Linked DNA regions of Coturnix japonica. The protein of the gene in region 1 purifies or fractionates together with the protein of each later gene. This does not show direct contact. Links are inferred from orthologs where the notes say so. Each region holds a gene or a part of one and is shown on either strand. Other genes may lie near its edges. The genes, in order: PTPN14, WWC2 and YWHAE.

Evidence for each region.
Region 2: the proteins of PTPN14 (region 1) and WWC2 purify together in Homo sapiens (affinity purification with mass spectrometry, with the first as the bait; 3 studies listed by BioGRID). This does not show direct contact. The link is inferred for Coturnix japonica from reciprocal best matches to the Homo sapiens genes PTPN14 and WWC2.
Region 3: the proteins of PTPN14 (region 1) and YWHAE purify together in Homo sapiens (affinity purification with mass spectrometry; 3 studies listed by BioGRID and IntAct, with this or other methods). This does not show direct contact. The link is inferred for Coturnix japonica from reciprocal best matches to the Homo sapiens genes PTPN14 and YWHAE.

What each region holds. Positions count from the first base shown.
Region 1 is NC_029518.1:18,515,470-18,521,593, forward strand, and holds the start of PTPN14 (tyrosine-protein phosphatase non-receptor type 14), read left to right. Parts: upstream 1-2,495; 5' UTR 2,496-2,605; intron 2,606-2,741; exon of another isoform or gene 2,742-2,850; intron 2,851-6,124. UniProt on the Homo sapiens protein: Protein tyrosine phosphatase which may play a role in the regulation of lymphangiogenesis, cell-cell adhesion, cell-matrix adhesion, cell migration, cell growth and also regulates TGF-beta gene expression, thereby modulating epithelial-mesenchymal transition.
Region 2 is NC_029519.1:35,376,851-35,382,974, reverse strand, and holds the start of WWC2 (protein WWC2), read left to right. Parts: upstream 1-2,010; 5' UTR 2,011-2,539; coding exon 2,540-2,670; intron 2,671-6,124. UniProt on the Homo sapiens protein: Regulator of the Hippo signaling pathway, also known as the Salvador-Warts-Hippo (SWH) pathway.
Region 3 is NC_029534.1:3,988,704-3,994,736, forward strand, and holds the start of YWHAE (14-3-3 protein epsilon), read left to right. Parts: upstream 1-2,330; 5' UTR 2,331-2,467; coding exon 2,468-2,531; intron 2,532-6,033. UniProt on the Homo sapiens protein: Adapter protein implicated in the regulation of a large spectrum of both general and specialized signaling pathways. Binds to a large number of partners, usually by recognition of a phosphoserine or phosphothreonine motif.

The DNA.
Region 1 (6,124 bases):
TAAAGATTCGAGGTTTCAACAGTCTTAGAAAGGAATAGTAGCACTTACAACAGAAATTTCCTTATGGAAGACTCCTTGCAGCAACTGACTATAATCTCAATAAAGCTTTGTACTTCTAAAGCACCTCCTGCTACAGTCACTGAGAGTACAGTATAATATAGACATTGCATTAAGTAATCTCATGAGAAAAAGTGGTAATCTTCACCATTCCTGGTCTCAGAATCTTCTCTTCATTATTCTAGGGAATCATGCTGCAGGTAGGCAATGCATAAAACCTCCCATCCAGAATTTGTGAACATGCTTGTGTTTCTTGCAACTTCATTTGCAATTAAGGTCACTGAATAAGTTTTCTTCAATTGCAGACCATGAAAGTAAAAGTGGCCAGCTGCTAAACCACAAGCTCACGTTGAGGCATAGCTGCAAAAGTCAATCCTTACCATCTTAAACACAAAGAATTTACGCCTCTCTCACTGTGCAGAGAACATGACAGGAATCTAACAAGTTCAGTCTGAGTTCTGGTGCACGCTGCTTTCTCATGCAGCTTTCCACTCGGGAGGGGGAAGCTGTTTACTGGCATAAAATTGAACTGTGTAACTTCAGAGCATAGCAGATCTGAGCTTCATCTTATCATCTGACACCTGATGGTGCTTCCAGATTGCTACTGAGAGCTCTGTATCTATATGTGGTCTAATCTAGTTCAAGTAACAATCTTAAATGGTGTCACTTCTTAATGCCTCAGTGTAGCCCAATGTAAAATGGGGATAATTACTCACTTCATTTAGGTCTGCACTTATAAAACACTTGAAAGTCTTAGATGAAAAGGACTCACCTTGCAAAATGTAATTATACTAATATTATGCCAGAGGTAAGGCATGGGTCCACGATTCAATAGACAGTATTTAAATACAATTACTTATCTATCAAAATCAAGAATCCACACTATTTCTCTCTCACTCAGCTCTTGATCCTCTTATCATTATTAATCCGATTAATACTGACTGCATTGAATCTATTCACATACTCCTTCAGTAAAATGTACAAGCAGCAAAAGCATTCAGCAACTAAAAAATAGTTTCAATCCTCAGTTTGTACTGTTTTTTCATAGCTTTCCCGTTTGTAGAAGTCCTGTTGTCACGGTTTTAGACAGACACCTCCACCTGAGGTTTACACAGGTGTCCTACTAGTATTTAGATATACTTATGGGAATGTGGGTAACATTGCAATATAATGCAAAAGGAATTGCAAACTGACCATCAGCTATGACAAGCAAGGAGGCCTCATGTCATTACTAACTGACCAATCTTAGGTGTTGTGGCCTGGTGCTATCTGGCCGAAGCAATGATGGTGCTCCTTGCTTCCTACAACCTGCTGCACTCTGCCCCTTCTCCTTGCAATAGGTATGGGAAGGGCTTTCCCACAGCTGCCTAACACTAGGCATCCTGAATGCTTCATGCAGTTTGAAAGGGCTGACAATAGCAGGACACGGGGAAATGGTTTTAAGTTAAAAGAGGGAAGATTTAGGTTGGATGTCAGGGGGAAGTTCTTCACTAGGAGAGTGGTTAGGCCCTGGAACAGGCTGCCCAGGGAGGTTGTAGATGCCCCGTCCTTGGAGGTGTTCAAGACCAGGTTGGACAGGGCCCTGGGCAACCTGATCTAGTAAAGGTGTATGTTTGGTGGCCCTGCCAGGCAGGGGGGTTGGAACTACATGATCCTTGAGGTCCCTTCCAACCCGGGTCATTCTGCGATTCTGTGTGAGTTACACGAGGAAGGCAGAGGAAAGCGCAGGAGTTTCCCGGCCCACTCCCGCCCAGCCTCCTCCGGCCCCACGTCCCTCCGAAGGTGCTCGCTCCGAGCCGTGCCGTTCTTCGCCCCCACCCCAGCCTCGGCCTCGCCCCTGCTGGGGCCCCGCCGCCGCGGGCCGGGACACGTGCGCGGAGGCCGCGGCCGGGCCGTCCCCTCTTCGCCACGCGCGGAGGGAGGCGGGGAAGGGGCGGGCAGGCGCTGCGGATCTGCCCCAAACTTGGCAGCGCCGCTCTCCTTGCGAAGGCTGCTGCCGGCGGCCGCCCCCATTGGCAGTAGCCTGCGCCCTCCTCTTCCTCCCTCCTCTTCCCTTCTCCTCCTCTGGGTGGGTTTCTGCCCTCCTCTTTCGTTAGGGCGGGGGAAAAAAAAAAATATTTTTTTAAAAGAATTAAAAGAAAAAAAGAATTAAAAAAGAAAAGAAATCCCAAGTCGCGTCCCGACGTCTCCGGGCCCCGCGGCCGCAGCGGCCGCCCCACATTCCTGGCATTCCTGGGCCGTGACTCCCCGCGCCGCCCCGGCCCCAGCCCGGCCCCGGCCCCGCCGCCTCCTGCTCGCTCGCTCGCTCGCCCCCACGGGCCGGCAGTCCCCTCCCTCTCTCCCTCCTGCCCGCAGCCCTCGGGCGACGGCAGCAGCTCCGGGCGTCCCGGCCCCCCGCGCCGCCGGCGGCGGCCCCAGCTGCGCCCGCCCCGCCGAAGTTGCTCGCCGTGGCCGGGCCGGGGCGGCGGGAGCGGGTCTCCCCGCAGGGAGGAAGGCGGCCGCCTTCCGGGCCGGGATAGCGCACGAAGCCGGAGCCGCCGCCCAGCAGGTAAGGAGCCGCCGCCGAGTTGGCCGCACTTGAGTCCCGCCGCTTTCCGAGCCGTCCCGGGAGCGCGTTCCGCTCCGTGCTCCGTGTTCGTCGCTCGTTGCGCGCTGCTCTTGCAGCTCCTCGCCTGTTCGTAACCGACGAAAATAGCTCAGCTCGGGCAGGGAGTGCCAGGCGGCCAGCTGCCATCAGCGGGCTCGGACAGCCCGGCCGGCAAAGGGCTACGATCTGCGGGACACGCGGCGCTGGTGGGTGCTCGCGGATCCTCGGGTTCTATCGCCGTGCCCGCTGCACTCTCCGACCCGGTACCTTCGCCTTTGTTACTGCTGCACCGAGCTGTGCCCGGGCGGGGGGCAGTGGCACAGCGGCGGTGCCCGGGAGGGCTCCGGGCTCGCTTTACGGAACGCGTTTGGGACGGGCTTACATAATGTACGTGTGGCGTGTTGACTGACCGTGTGCTGCCGTCTTCCTATCGAGAGGGTTTTATCTGTGTTTTGCATCACGTTACCACATGCTTCTATCGTGAGCATCTCTTCGGTTGTTGGTAACTTTACCGAGGTGGCAGCAAACAGAGGTCGGTAGAAGCTCTGATTCAACGTGCTGCCGGCCCAGAAAGTTTTCTGGGATTTCTGGCATGTGGCCTGAAACCATAGCTGAAAGAAATTGTTCTGCCAGAAGCCGCTTCTCTCTTTTCCTTGGAGCTCTTAACCACTGCTGGCTCCGGCTATTCCAGAAACACTGTTACATGCTGAAGTTCCTCGGAGCCGGGGAAATCTGCCTGCAAAATGGCTCCCCCCGCCCCCAAGTGCCACCTGCGGCTTCTCCATCGTGGGGAAGGCACTTTGGGGGCCACTTGTCGGTCTGTGATGTTCAGTCTGCGGGTATCACACATCCCTCATTCTCTGGAAGGTCAGTGTCTGGCAGGCAGCACTCTTTATATGGTGTAACATTCGGCGTGTTGGTATCAGAGCAGTGCACATAAGCTGTAGGCCCTGCTCTGTTGCTGACAGCACTTCTCTGAACTTTTTGTTCAGAGGCTGTTCAGCTTTTCAGGGAGGCTGTGCAGAGCTGCTCGCAGGCAGAGGGCACTTGTGTGTATGCAGTGGGTGGCAGTAGGAGCATTGGGAGCGCTGCCTGCGTGGCCTCATCAGCAGGAAGGTGCTCCCTGGGCCTGTGGCCATCTGGTCCTCTATGGTACCTGTGTGCGCTGGGCTTGAGGGCATGGCTGTGGAGTTGCCATGGTGTAGGCTGGGGCTGCTCTCTAAGCTTCTCTGTCTACGTTGGTGAATGGTTTTAAGCAGGTCTGATAAACATTTTGGAGATAGCAGAAGAAATAGTTTTGGAGCAGAGTTGATTACCTGGTAATCAACCATGGTGCTTGCCTTGACCGCTCTCCTTGTCCATCCTGTCAGTCACTTAGCACCGTGTAAGAGGGGACTGGCTTCCTGCAAAGTAGATCTGTTCCCATGCACTTAGCAGATTGCCTCGGCCTCCAGTGGCTCCTCCAGTCTTGAAGAAAGCATTTGATATATATATATATATATATATATATATTTAAATATTTGCTTACGTACTTCTGCTAACTATGCTGTTTCTTTGTTCTAAGTCTGTTTGGTACCGCTGCAGCCTAAGGGGTTAGTCTTCACTTGTTTCTCCTCGTACTCGATAAGGCTGTGTTTGATTCTGTGTTTCTGATGTTACTGCTGCTGATGTGCAGATCGTAGCAAGTTCTCAGTGGGTCACAAGTCTTAGTCCTTCAAAGAGTCGCCTATGTGCTTGAATTCATATTCCTGAATGCTGCTTTGGAAACTGTGGAATTTCTTTATTATTAATAGCTACAGACATGTACACAAGAACTAGGCTATAATGTTTAGTGTGCAATATATTTGTGCATGTGTATCCAGCTCAATTGTAAGAAGATTTTGATAAAGGCTTAACTTCTATGCTAAAAAGTCTCTTTGATGTCCAGGTCCACTGCAATTGCATAACACCTTGGCCTACTGCCCTCTGGAGCTCCAGAAGAGCAGATCTTGCTGACATGCGGTGGCACTGAAGTTGTTGCTACTCGTATGAGGAATCCATGCTTGAGGTTCTCTGAAACTTTGTCTGAAAAAGCTCTGTTCCATCTCGGCATGTTTGCCCTCCTGTGCCTAATGCTGGAGCAAACTCATGGGGTGATTTTGGCTGCCTGTGTCTGTGCTTCTCTATGTGCCCAGAGCAAGCATCATTTGTCCACCCATGCTGCCCAGCTTCTGCACAGGGCTGCTGCACAGCCTTCTGGTTTGCAGCATGCTCTGAGTTTATAAGGTTACCTACAGATGTAGGAACGGGCCTTAAGGTAGAAGCTGTCCCCTGTCACTCTGCCCCTGTCCTCTGCCTTGGGCTGTGTGTGTGTGTGTGTGGGGGGGGGGTGTTAAAGTGTCAGAAGGGTGGCATTAGGCCTCGGTAAGGTTATGGGAGTTATCCTGATTGGTCTTCATCTCTTTCAAGAAATAGTGTGATTCCAGTGGGTTCATATTATGCCTTTTACTTCTACTTTGTGCACATTATTGTGGTTGAGTTACCTTCCTTTTGAATCAATGAGGATGATTTTCAATAAATTTGCTATTATTGTTTTGTTTGTTGACATACAGTAGAACGTTTTTTTTTAAGCAAACTTTATGAATTCAAGGGTGGTTGTGTGTAAAGAAACAAAAGGAGTAGAAAAATTATAATTTCCTGATCTTCAGCTGTTAGTGCATACTATAATGAAATCTGGCCTCATCTTAGGGAGCTGGTGGAGATGGTGGTCAATTGAAGGTGCTGTAACTATGTAGGTACAGTGGTTTACCTTCTGAGCTACACTGATTGGAATTTTTGGCTTTAGATACAGAGAAGAGTTTAAAAACAAAAAGGCTTAAAGATTGCTCTTCAAAGTATTTCCCAAGGCCAGCTCTTATCAATGCTGGAAGTGTCCCCTGGAATTAAGGTCTCCAGACTGATGCAGTGCAAAATGTGTACATAAAAGGAACGTGCGTGCTTGTTTTAAAATGTGTTTTCCGCTGTCGTCGTTGTCATTGAAATTAGTAAGCATTATATATATTATAATCCACTTTAGATGAACAACTTTTGGTAAAAACTTGAGACTACAAATTTACCACTGATTAAGCATAAATGTAACTAGCTCTAAAAAGAGTTTCTAAACAGAGGATTTTTCTTGAGAGAGTCAGGTGTGTGAAATGTTGGATGGGGGTGATATCCTTGGGAGAATGCTGCCCTCCAGCCCACTGTGATGTTCTGTAGCATGGAGGCATTGCTAATCAGAAGTTTAGATACTGAGCTTTGTCCAGTGCCAGGCTTTTGGAAACTGCAGCCCCGCTTCCTAGTTCTCAAAGAATGCTCCTTTCCTGTTTATTTCACCAGTACCTTGCTGAAATGATGCCCTTTATGACTAAGAACCCTTTTTCTTTTCCTTTATTATTATTATTTTTTTTTGTCTGTATACCTTAAATTACCAGATGATGTAGAAACAACTCTGAAAAG
Region 2 (6,124 bases), on another chromosome or scaffold:
AGTTGGTTTTGGTTTTTCTTGAAGATTTGGCTGTCTTAGATAAAAACCGCCGTGCTTATAAATAAGCCAATATCCATAATGCTGAGAATATTCACAGTTCTACAATAACCGCGTGTCAGGGAAGTCATACTGGCTGTCCAGATTGGTTTGTATAGTATTTAAGTGACTAAAAAATAAATAGCAGCATAAACAATACGCATATATTCAAGCATTTCTCAGATTTTTTAGAGATTCATTAATTCCGACAGCATATTCCGTAATTTATTCTGCATTCAAATGCTGTTTGAAAGCACTGGAGACTGAACTATAATGCAGCTTTTCAGGGAGACAGCTACAGCTCTGGATGCTGAACCATTTGTGGCTATTATGAATGAGAACTGTAACGACTGGAAATTTCTTCAGGGACATCACTTTAGTGGATGATCAAACTAAGGATCGGTAACTAGCAGCTGGTTCCAGAGAAAATAATAACCTCAGTAGCTTTTCTCTCAATTTACATAACAAAAAACATTACTGATAAACTAAAACAGAAATCCAGCTTATCATGTCTCACAATTGTCTCATGTACTTTCTCACTGTAGGATGACACTTAAAAGCAAGTTTATAAAATTAGACTCTTGAAAGTGATAGAAGTTTTAATAGATAGTAAAAGAACTTCTTCACTCTGGTGAAAAACAAGGCTGGACATTATAAACCAGTCAGCTGACTGAAACATAATACTCTCAATGAAAATAAATGAGTCTGGCACTTTAGTAGGCAATGATCCTGTTACTTTCTGTAGCTGAACTCTTATGGAGATGCAGAGGCTTGCACACATCAGTTCTTCTCCAGTGTTAACCACCAGGGCCTTACTTGAAGTATGTACTTTCATTACACATTGCCTTAATTCAGCAGATGTGAAAATAAAATCGTCAAGAGAGTCTGAAGGTGAACCAGCAGGTGTTTTTGGGAGGCATACAGCTATTTACAGAGATGGAACAGCAGATTAGTATTACAGAATAAAATGATTAGAATGACTAAGATAGCAAATGTCTTCACCAGATCAACAATTAGCTAAATTAAGATCATATCTCCTTTCTATTTTTCTTCTGTTTAGGAGCAGATCCAACAATGAGATTTGGATGCCTGTAAATCAATCGCTGCAACACCTAATGGTTGGGTGTTTGGCCTCTGAAGTGGAATCCAAAACCCTGTTGGGCGCTGCATCAGCCTGGTGCTTAGTAAGCACAAATTGTGTCAGGAGAATAATCCATAGAACTGAGTACTAAGCTGTAGAAGGATAGGGGAAAATAAATAAATAAAGAAGCAAACCATCAACAACAAACCCACAGGTCTGGATTCCAAACCTTCTTTCCCACAAAAACTTTGTGTTATTCAATCCAGGAAAGTATAAAGAAAACGATCTAGAAAGCAGGGAGCAAACCCTGGGCTCCTCAGGAGTCCCAGTTATCAAACAGCAGTCATATTCCCCCTCTGTAGTTCCACTTCTTAAGCCAAACCCTGGGGATCAGATGCACAAACTAATTACCAGAGCTCATCAGGTTACCTTCTATCAGCCGAGCCATGGCAACCTGCCTCACTACCGCCGTAATTCACACCTGGCTTCTCAATGCAACGTGCGCGGGCTGCCTTTCAGGCCAGAAGGGCACCTGTTAAAAAAAAAAACAAAAAAAAACCCACAAAACCAAACGATCGAAAAGTTTAAAGTCTTCTCGGAGTTCAAGAGAAAAAGCTCAAAATTAAAGTGAAAGGGAAAACCAGGCTGTTTTAAGCACCGAGGTCTTTCTACCAACCCTCGAGTCTTAGCGGGGTTTTAGAGCGAGTTCAGAGGAGCGCACTGAGAAACGCACTGACACAGCCCGGGGACACAGCCGCCCTCCCGCTCCGCTCCTCTCAGCTCAGCGCCCGCACTGGAGCGCCCCGAGGGCCGCGGGCTGCGCCACCTGACGGCGCCTCGGGGACAAAGGGAACGCCGGGCGCACCTCGCCGCCCCCGCTCCGCTCTCCCCTTCCTCTCGTAGGCAGCTCCCGCGGTCAGCCCCAGGCCCTGCCTCGGCCCTTCTGCTCCCGCCCCCGTTTCCTCCGCCAACTTGTTCGTGCCTTTTCCGCGACCCCGCCCGGGTCTGGGTTTCCCCCCGTCCCGCGGGCGCGGTGTGGGGGCAGCGCCGGCAGGGTTAACCCTGAGGAATGCGGCGGGAGGAATGTGCATGCAGATGAGGTGGATGCTAATCTCATGCTAATGAGCGGCGGCCGCAGCCGCCCGGGGCTCAGCCGGGCTCCCCGCGCACAGACGGCAGCTGGGCTCCGCCGGGATCCCTGACCTGGGCTGCCGCCCGCCCGCCCGCGGCAGCCCCGGCACGGTGGGCCGAGAGCCGGCGTTGGAGGAGCTGCTCCCCGGGCTGCCGCCAGCGTCGTCCTCCGGCTCCGGGCCGGGCTCGGCTGCGGGGCCCCCTCCGCGTCCCCTCGGCTCGGGTGGGGGCTTTTCCCGCTTCCCTTCTTTCTTTCCGTCCCTATGGAGCAGCCGCCCCCGCCGGCCGACCATGCCTAGGAAAGCGGGGAATGGGCAGCTCCCCTTACCCGATGGCTGGGAGGAGGCGAGGGATTACGACGGCAAAGTCTTTTACATCGACCACAACACCAAGCAGACCAGCTGGATCGACCCCAGGGACAGGTGGGTGCGAGGCGGGGGCTGCAGCGGGGTGCTGCCGGCCTGAGGCCGCGGAGCCCGGGACAAAAGGCGCCGAGGGCGACCGAGCCGCCCAACAGGTACAAAAGTTGGCCGAGCGGCCGGCCGCCATCCCGCCCCCCGCCCCGAGCACGGAGCCGACTCGGTGCGGCACCACGGGCCTCCAGCCCGGCCGTCCCGGCGCGAGGAGCACGGCGCGGCCGGGGGAGCAGCTGCAGGCCTCGCGTGCCCGCTAGGCCTCGGCACGGCTCAGCACCCCGCCAGCCGCAGCCTCCTCCGGCTCTGAGGGCTGAAACGGGCAAAACTCGCCTCCAAAACGCTCTGCTGAGCGGCGTGGGCAACTCGCGTGTTGCGAGCGGGAGAGTCATCGGGGCAGCTCTTCCAGCTGGGGAGAGGCGGTGGCCTTCGGTCCTGCCCCGCTCACCGTGCGGGGAAACGCCCGGGTACCTGCCTCGAGTTGTGAGGCAGCGCTCCTGGAAAGTAATGGGAAGAGAGAACTTTGTGTATATATCCACGTTGTTTCCGCACTGTGTGTAACGTGATGTTGAAAACGGTCCATTCGAGTTATCAGAAACTTGCAGAAGGAGTTATGAACGCGTGGAACAAGCTGTCCTGCATTATAAATGAGAGCCCGGGTTTGTGTTTCTCAGAGGCTGGAGCTGCCCTGGGCTCGCAGTGCGGAGCGCTGACAAGCAGCACACGCTGCACAGGCCCGCTCCACTCTCACACTTGTTGCAGCAGCAAATTCCAGCCAGGGTGAACTTCGTGCTTAACGTGCTTTCAAGTGCAAAGGAATTCAAATGCCTTGTAAATATTAGTGAGGTGGTAAAGTGTACGGGACGGTGTTGTTAATTACACCTGTGATAAATGGGCCTTTTTGAGTCATTGATTTTTATTTTTTTACAGCGGACAATAAAAAAGTTCTGTCTTTCCCATCTCTAGAAGTAGTGTATTTAAGGAGTCACTCGGTGGTAGACTTTGAATTTCTCTTTGCAAAGCAGATGGTGAGGCGGTGTAATCAAGGTGAAGCAAAAAGTGACATTTGAGGACCTACTTGTTACAATTGCGCCTCAGGAATATACTAATTTAGAATTATATTCTTTGTGTTCTCTGGCCCTGAAGAGTTCAAGGATACACATACTTGGCGGTAACATTTGAGTCTTTGCTGTCATTAGTAGACTATACAGCTAAGGGAGTAGCAGTGCACTGCTTGCCATCCTGTAGGTACGGGATAAGTGTTGTTCCATTAATACATTGATTACAGGTGAAGGAGAAATTGAATCCTGAGACTCGATGGTCTGTCATGAGAACTGAGGAAGTAAAGACCTTCTTGAGAGAGTGCGGTGTTTGAAATAACTGCTTTCACTCTTCACTCATGGAAAACAAGCAGAGGGATTTTGTGCTATGGAATTCCTAACTTAATGTACATGGCTCAGCCGTGGAGCTGAATCGCCCTCACAGGAAACTGACAAGCACATTTAATCTGCAGTTTACATTACCTGTATTTACAGTATCTGTATTTACAATCTGTTTGTATTGGTGGCCTGGCCTCGAGATGGCTTTGCTTGAGAGTCCTTTCTGTTTCCCAGGTATTTAGAAAATGTGTATTCTGAAACCATACAAACATAATGAAGGCTCCATGTCAGTAAAACTGACATGTGATCTTCCAGGTTTGTCAGTACAGTACAATCTAGATTTGCCTTGTTACTGCAGCTCACCTTAACTTGTCAAAGCGGAGGTAATGCATCCTACAGAAGGTCTGAGGTCTGACGCTTCAGGGCTTTGATTTCAACTTCATTCTGTGATGGAGGTTAAAAAGTTTTCATAAAGTACTTGTGGACCCAAAGTCCTTCATTTCTACAGCAAGTGTAGAAGCAGTGTGGTATTGTTGTATTGACTTTTTTTTTTTCTTCTGCTTTTGTGGTACAGCATCCCCTGGATATTTTTATACAGAAATGTCTTACATGATGTTTCAAGATCCTTTTTAATCCACTTTGATTTAGAAAGTACTAGCCTCCAGTATTCATACAATGAGACTTGTGCCGTGTGTCTGTGGGCCAGCAGGTGTATTTGGGAACAGCTGGGAGTCTCAGTGTTACTGGTATGAAATAGTCTAGAAATAAACTGAAAGACAAAATGCCATATTCCAAAGTTTAATGGAACAATTTGTGATTTTTATTATTATTATTTTTAATTTACCCTACTTTTTTCATCTGCTTTTTTAGACCTTCTGATAGTGCGTGTTACTATATGTATGGTTTAGGTCTGTTACTATAATATCTTATGTATAACAGGAAGAAAATCTCACATCAGCTTCAACCTTGAGGCTCAGTTCTTGTTTTTGCCCTCTCTGAGTAACCCCACTGACATTAGAGTAGCTCACACTTGCAAGGGCAAAAGTGATTTGACTTGTGTGTTTCTAGGAGTGCTGTGTTGGTTATTGGAATTGCTCTGTTCTGCGTTTTTTTAATGTTTTGTTTCTCTGTTCAACAGTGATTGCTCTCTGCAAACTCTTAGGTTACCGTATGGAAGGCTGATGGTTGAAAGGGGAGGGAACTTGAGGTGTAAGTTTGAGGAAGAGGAGACAGAACAGTGAGAATGTGGGAGTTGTAGCAGCTTTTTCACTGACTAAATATATGGGTGTTATTGCTCCTCGCGTCTTGCTTTCTGCATAGTAAATAGTCTGTGCTTCACTACTCACCGTCACTGACATAAAATACATTGCTACATTGATGTCTTTTCTAAAATGAATTCCGCATCACAAATTCTGCACTTGCAACAGGTCTTTATTTAAATGCTTGTCTGCACTCACATCAAAGTGGCAAGGAATGAGCTGCAATGGAAAAAAAGAAACAGCACTTTCTTTCTGCCTCTGCTTCTCTTTCTGCTGGGAAGGAGCAGCTTCCAATACATGGATGTATTTAAAATCATTCATGGTATGCTTGTCCGAGAGTGTCTCTAGGGGACTCGCTAACTCTGTAACCAAGGCAGTGCGTGAGAAACATTGGATGAGCAGAAAGCAGACAGCTTTGCTGCTTGTGCACTGTAAGAGTTTTCTTAGTGCTGACGAGGACAGGTAATGATGTTTCTATTGCTGCTTTCATCTTCCAGGGAGCTGAAAACTACTGTTTCTGTCATGGGTTTCAGTTACTGGGGTAGGAGTTGTCTGTCCAAATCAGAGCTTCAGTAGTTGCCTGTAGTTAAATGCTGTGTCCTCTTCCCTTAGAGAAGGACGCTTTGTTACTTCATGTTTCACCGGAGCTTGCTTTCTCCACTCTGTTGAGCATCAGAAGCTGTGAGAAGGGATGGTGTTGAGGTTGAAATCACTTGAGAAGGGTTGATCTTAATTCCATTTTGAGTACAAATCCTAACACTTCTGATGTAAGGTACAGTTGAGGTGTCCCACTTGTGCAGCTGTGTGGTGGGATCAGATCATGTC
Region 3 (6,033 bases), on another chromosome or scaffold:
GTTTTGTTAATGGTTTTGGGGAAGGATTCTAACCAAACCAGTTTGAAGAAGAATATGAACATGTGCCATTGTATTATAACACTATCCACTTTCTTGACAGTTAAAAGTCTTTTTTTTTTTTTTTTTAATTATTTTTTGTAGCATGTAATGTATATGTTCATAGTATGTGAAGTAAATAAAAGTATAGCCAAAACTTTGGCTTGGTGTCATTCTCAATCGGCTGTTATTGTAATACTTGTGTTTAAGAATACATTAACAGAAGTGTTGTTAAGTCCCATTCTTTAACTGAGCACGTTTATGTTAAAACAATTAAACCCAACACCTGCAGAAGGAAGATGAGATGACTAAAAGGAGTTATCAACCAGAAAAGGTTGATGGTGTGAAAGGTGAATGGCTGTAACTAACTGAGTTCCTTAAGTCCAGGGGGAGAGGGAGAACTATTCTCATTGCAGGAGGAGGACTCAGGAAGAAAGTAAAAATGAGACTTGTTAGTTATTAGTCTCAATTCTAACTGTAGGGATGCATTAGAAAATAGTTTGGGGGTTCTTGAGATGACTTAAATGAAAATACTCCTAAACATTTGGCCTTCTGGGGGTGCTCTTTAGCTCACAAGGCCCTCACTGCATAGAATAGGCCATATTTTATACTTTATAGTATATATATATTTTAAATATATACTATATATATTTTAATAACGCTTTACTACACTGTATGTTGGTTCTGGGAGTAGGCAGGGAGGAGTCTTGATGTCAGTAATCCTTTCTTGCTGGTATGTTCAACAATGGCATTTGTTTCACTACATTACAATTAAAGCATTCAGTATTTTAGTTACTTGGTATTCAGTTGGCAGGTTACTACACATAACTTTCCTCATCAGTACTGTTTAGTGGAGTCCTCGAGTGGGACTTTGCACTTAACTATACTGAGATGCCAGTTTTCCTGTCCACACAATAAGCCCATCAGCCTCATATAATAAATTTCCACAGGGAGAAGCACTGCCCTCAGCTTTACTCCTTGCTCACCTACCTCACTATTGGTATTTGCAAGTCTCCATGGCTTTGTCATGAAGGATTTATGCAGAGTTCTATTGCTTCTTCTTGCAGTGGTGACTTTCTGTTGCAGTAGCAGCCCAATCAATGTGTGTAAATGTTGTGTGTGCAAAGGACAAGGCAAGGATTGCATCAGGAAATTGAGGATCAAGTAAAGTCCCTACGTTGAGGCAAATCGAATTGATCATGTACAGTCCCACACAAAACTAAGTCTTAGCTGCTGAGAAAATAGGCTTTTTTAGTTAAGATTTATGAAGGGCGGAGGTGATTGTAAGTTGCGCAGTGTTACACAAATACACTGACCGTAATCCGCTGGGATTCTATATAATTCTATAAAAATCATAGTAATATTTTAGGTACATCCATAAGCAAACCATCCAATTGTCAGTTTTACACAACCTTAAGTCTTCGTTAACTTGAAATAATGCAATGAAATGAATCAGGTGACAATAAACCGATGGTTAAACCTGTGCCTCTGATCAGTGGGCACAACATAGAACACAAATGGATACTCAGCTCTGTCCAAGAGGTGCCGGGGATGCTCTGTCTCTGCTGCGTATCAGAAGCTGCAATGGCCTCTGTGGGCTCTCACACCTCAGGAAGGCCAAGAGCCTTCAGCCCATCCAAGGAGACACTGGAAAAAGAGATACGAGCCTGTTCATAGCGGATACGAGCTCATACCCACCCTGAACAAACCTCACGTTTATCTTAGCCAAACAGAATCACTTTTCTTTTGCTTTTTCTTTGATTTGGGAAACGGGGGGGTGTTATCATAACGCTTTCAATGCCTGCTCGGTGGATTTCAGGCCTCTGTGAGGAATTGATGCCACATTCCTCTCACGTTCCAGTTCCATCCCCTCAGTGATCAGTCAGTGATGGCAGCCACAGCGCTCCCCCATCACACAGCCTGCCTTTCTACAGGCATTCCTATACCCGGGACGAATACAACAGGGAAAGGCCGCTGTACTTTGAATACACCAGATCTGAGAGGAAGGAGAAAAGCGCAGCCAGACTGAGGGAAAACCCGGCCACTCCGATCCTCCCCGCACCCCCACCCGGCTCTTTAACACACTAGCAGGGCTCCCTACCAGCACCCCCAACCCCAACCGGCTCCGCACCGCGGCCCTCGGCCTCCACATCGCGGCGGATCCGCATCCTCACGGCCGCCGCTCAACAGCAAAATGGCGGCCGGTCCCAACCCCGGCCCGGCCACATCCCGCCCGTTACTAAGGAGCCGCCGTTGCTATGGGATGCCGTAGGGCGCATGCGCGCGGTTGTGGAAGTGCCCGGATGCAGCGGGAGGAGGTGCTGCCGCCATATTTGCCCGGAGAGCAGCGAGCTGGTAGCTGCTGAGCCCCACAGACCCATCGGCTTCCATCCGCCCCGTACGCTCCCCGACGCCGCTCCGCCTGCAGGACATGGACGATCGGGAGGATCTCGTCTATCAGGCTAAGTTGGCCGAACAGGCTGAACGTTACGATGGTGAGCGGCGGCCGGGAAGGCCGTGAGAGGCCAAGGGGAGAGAGAGGGAGGGAGCGGCCACAAAATGGCGGCTGGGCGGGGGTGGGGGGGGCAGGGGCGGAGGAGGGGGGCGCCGACAAAATGGCGCCGGGGAGCGCCCCGAGGGCCGCGGAACCGGGGATGGGGGGCCCTGAATGAGCGGGCGGCCTCGGCCTGGGCGTGGCCCGCTACGGGGGGCGGTGGCGGCAGAAGCCGGGAAGAAAATGGCGGCCGCGAAGGGCGAGTCCTGGGGGGGGGAAGGGGGGAGCCGCCCCCGCCTCGGGGGTCCGACAAAGAGACCCCACTGCTTAGCGCCGTGCGGGCGGCTGTGGCGGTGCCGGGCGGCTCCTTAGTGCTGCGTTTCCCTCCGGCCGCGGCCCCGCGGAGCTCGGCGCTGTGGGGCTGAGCTCGGTTCGCCGCAGACAACGCCCCGCTCTCCGGAAGGTTCGTGCCGGCCCCTCGGGGGGGGCGATGCCGGAGGGACCCGAGGGAGCGGGATGGCGCTTCTCTTTCTCTCCCTTCGCTTTCCATTGGAGGCACGGCTCTCATTCACCCTGCAGCCGTCTGGCACTGCCCGTCATTACCTGAAGGAAGAACACATGCTTTCATTACACGCTGGAAATCATTACAGACCATTTTACGTTCCCACTTTGTCTCTTTTTTCCTCCCCCCCCCCTTCCCTCATTTGCCTTATGAAATTAGAGCTCTGATCCCTTTATATCTTGGGGAAAAAAAAGGGGCGGTGGGGAGGAGCTGGCAGCCCTGGATGGTATTTCTTGCCCCCAAAATGTCTGCCGTGTGACTGTTCCCTTCAAGGTGCTTTTCTTGCCTATAGAAGAAAGGGCCTTTAATTTTCTCAATGGGGTTGTTATTTCTGCCCTTAGATCTGTATTTCAAGTGGAAGAAAAGCCGGTGTGTGTGTAAAGGGTGGGAGTACAGTTAGGTTTCATTTAGAAGTGGGGAGATGCTTTGGGTCCTTTAATTGATCAGGGTTTTCACAGAGCAGGGAAGTCAGCTGGTGAGAATTAGGCTTTGTTCTCTGAGTTACTGCTTAGAAAACTTCTGATAATGGGATTCCAAAGCTGAGAAATACACCTTTTGGGGGAGGAAAACAGAAATGAAGGAGTAATTAAGACCATCTGCAGTGAATGTTCTGGTAGAAATGGGGTAGGAATAAGAATCGTACTGAGTGACAGCAGCCAGATAGTCTCCTTGTTGTAACTGCAGGGACTTGGGGGAAAAAACGTCCCCCAAAGCAGGTTTTGTGGGGTGACTTGTGCCCACCCCTTCAAGTAAGATGCAGCTCATAGTAGGAGAGCAACATCTGTGGGTACAAGTGGTTGAGGAGGGGGGTGTAGATTTGGGGTATCTTGGTTTTTTTGTCTCCTTAGGAGTGTGGGATGGGAAGGTGCATTGTTCTCATTGCTGCCATCTTCCACAAAGACCACAAATCCAGCAGTATTGGGGTGTGTGTGGGGGAGGGTTTGTTCACCTGGTACAGATGAGCCTCAGCGCAGGGGTGAGCTGTGGTTTGAATGGAACTCCAGGCTAAGGATGTTTGGGGGATACATCATCCTTTTGAGGTATAACTGATGCTTTCCTAGCTGAATGGGAAGTCACTTCTTTGGAAAGCAATCAGACCTTCCCTTATTGTAGAAATCTGCAGCACAGCCTGATTTCCTTATCAAAAAAGGTTGATAGAGATAGAAATGCCACACAAAGGCAGTCAGTGGGCTTCCAATCCCAATGCTCCAGTGGGTGTTTGAAGAATGAATTGCCTAGGTCAGAATTCAGAGGGCTTCTGTGTGGCTTCTGAGTGTTAATAAGAACACCCTCACTGAGGAGGTAATGATAATCATAGTGTTCTTATCTTTAAAGCAATATTGTGGGATTCAGACTTGCAGAATTTGTTGGCATGGAGTTGAATCAACAAATTTAAGGTGCATCCCTTAACTCTCCATGTTGTTCTATAGCTTTCCGCCTTTTTTTCTGTCCCTGGCCTGGAAAAATAAATACTGTAGGTACAGGTTTAGCATCTAATTCTGTATCGTTCAGTTGGAAGCAATTAAAAAGTGAAGAGTATATTCTCATTTACATGAAAGTAAGTGCTGAGGCTGCTCAATGTGAATGAAATGCTGTGGGGAAGTGAAGTGATGCTTAGTTTCATTCTTTAGTTTTACCTTTGAGATACATGATGGTGAGGTAATAGTGAATAACTTCCAGATACTACTGATGGTAAGTACTGGCTACAAATGTGCTGGAATAGAAACCTGTTCTGTGACTTGAATATGAATGTAAAATGACAATTTTTGATGTTTAATGTTAGGATAGCGTTACGTTCTGCCACATCTTTCTCAGTGAGGCTCAGCGTGCTGTGTGGTTAGAACAGCCATGGTCCATGGCATTTGAGGCAGCTTCTAAGGTAGGAATCTAATAAGTTTTTTGGGTTTTTTTTAGTTACATGACCCACTTAAGTTCTGAAGCCTTGCAGGCTGTGCCTGCCAGTTGTTGGGAATGTAGTTCTGTCTCTGTACAGCCCTTGGTGTATCGGCCCAGATTAAGAGGACAACTTTCTTAGGTGCCTCTGCAGTGTAAATAATGCTTAAAGCTGTGATCCCTAGAGATAGTAAGAGATTTGGGTGTCTGTCTTTACGGATCTACCCAGGCGTGTCATGACAGATCACAAAATGCCGGGCAGCCTACTTGTATTAGAGAAAGCTTTGTGACAAATCGTACTTGAGGAAAAAAAAAATCACATTTACCTGCACTTGATAGAACCACAGAATGGCCTGGGTTGAAAAGGACCACAATGATCATCTGGTTTCAACCCCCCCTGCTATGTACAGGGTCGCCACTGCCCAGAGCCACATCCAGCCTGGCCTTGAATGCCTGCAGGGATGGGGCATCCACAGCCTCCTCGGGCAACCTGTTCCAGTGCGTCACCACCCTGAGTGAAAACCCTTTGAGTTCCTTCAAAGATGGTTCCCAATTGCGTAATATATATAAAATGTCTTTTCTGGGAAACAACTGGAGTTGATAAAATTGCGTTGGTTTATGAAATCACTAACTCTTTACTTTCTCACATCAAAAGATTGTATGTATCTGCGTTCTCATGGACTGCTGAATGTCAAAACTAACTCTCTGTTGCAGAAGCTAGGTAGCACCTTTCTTCTCATCAGTAGAGAAGCATGCTAGGATAGAAGGTAAGCTCCGAGTGAATCCTGTGGGTGCTTCAGTCCTGCCAACAGATTTGTGCCACAGATCTTGAAATACATCATTTGAAGTTTACCCAGGGTGTAGCAGGTGAGGATAATAGCTCTGTTTACAGCTGGGAAGAAGATAATTGACAGCTCTCCTGATTCCCAGTACAGCAAGTCAACATGTAACTCCTGTGTTGCTATTAACTCATTGCCAGAGAAGCAAACCTTCCCTCTGAAGGCAACAAGGTGTGCACTGAATCCAAAATCTGAACATATTGTAGAAT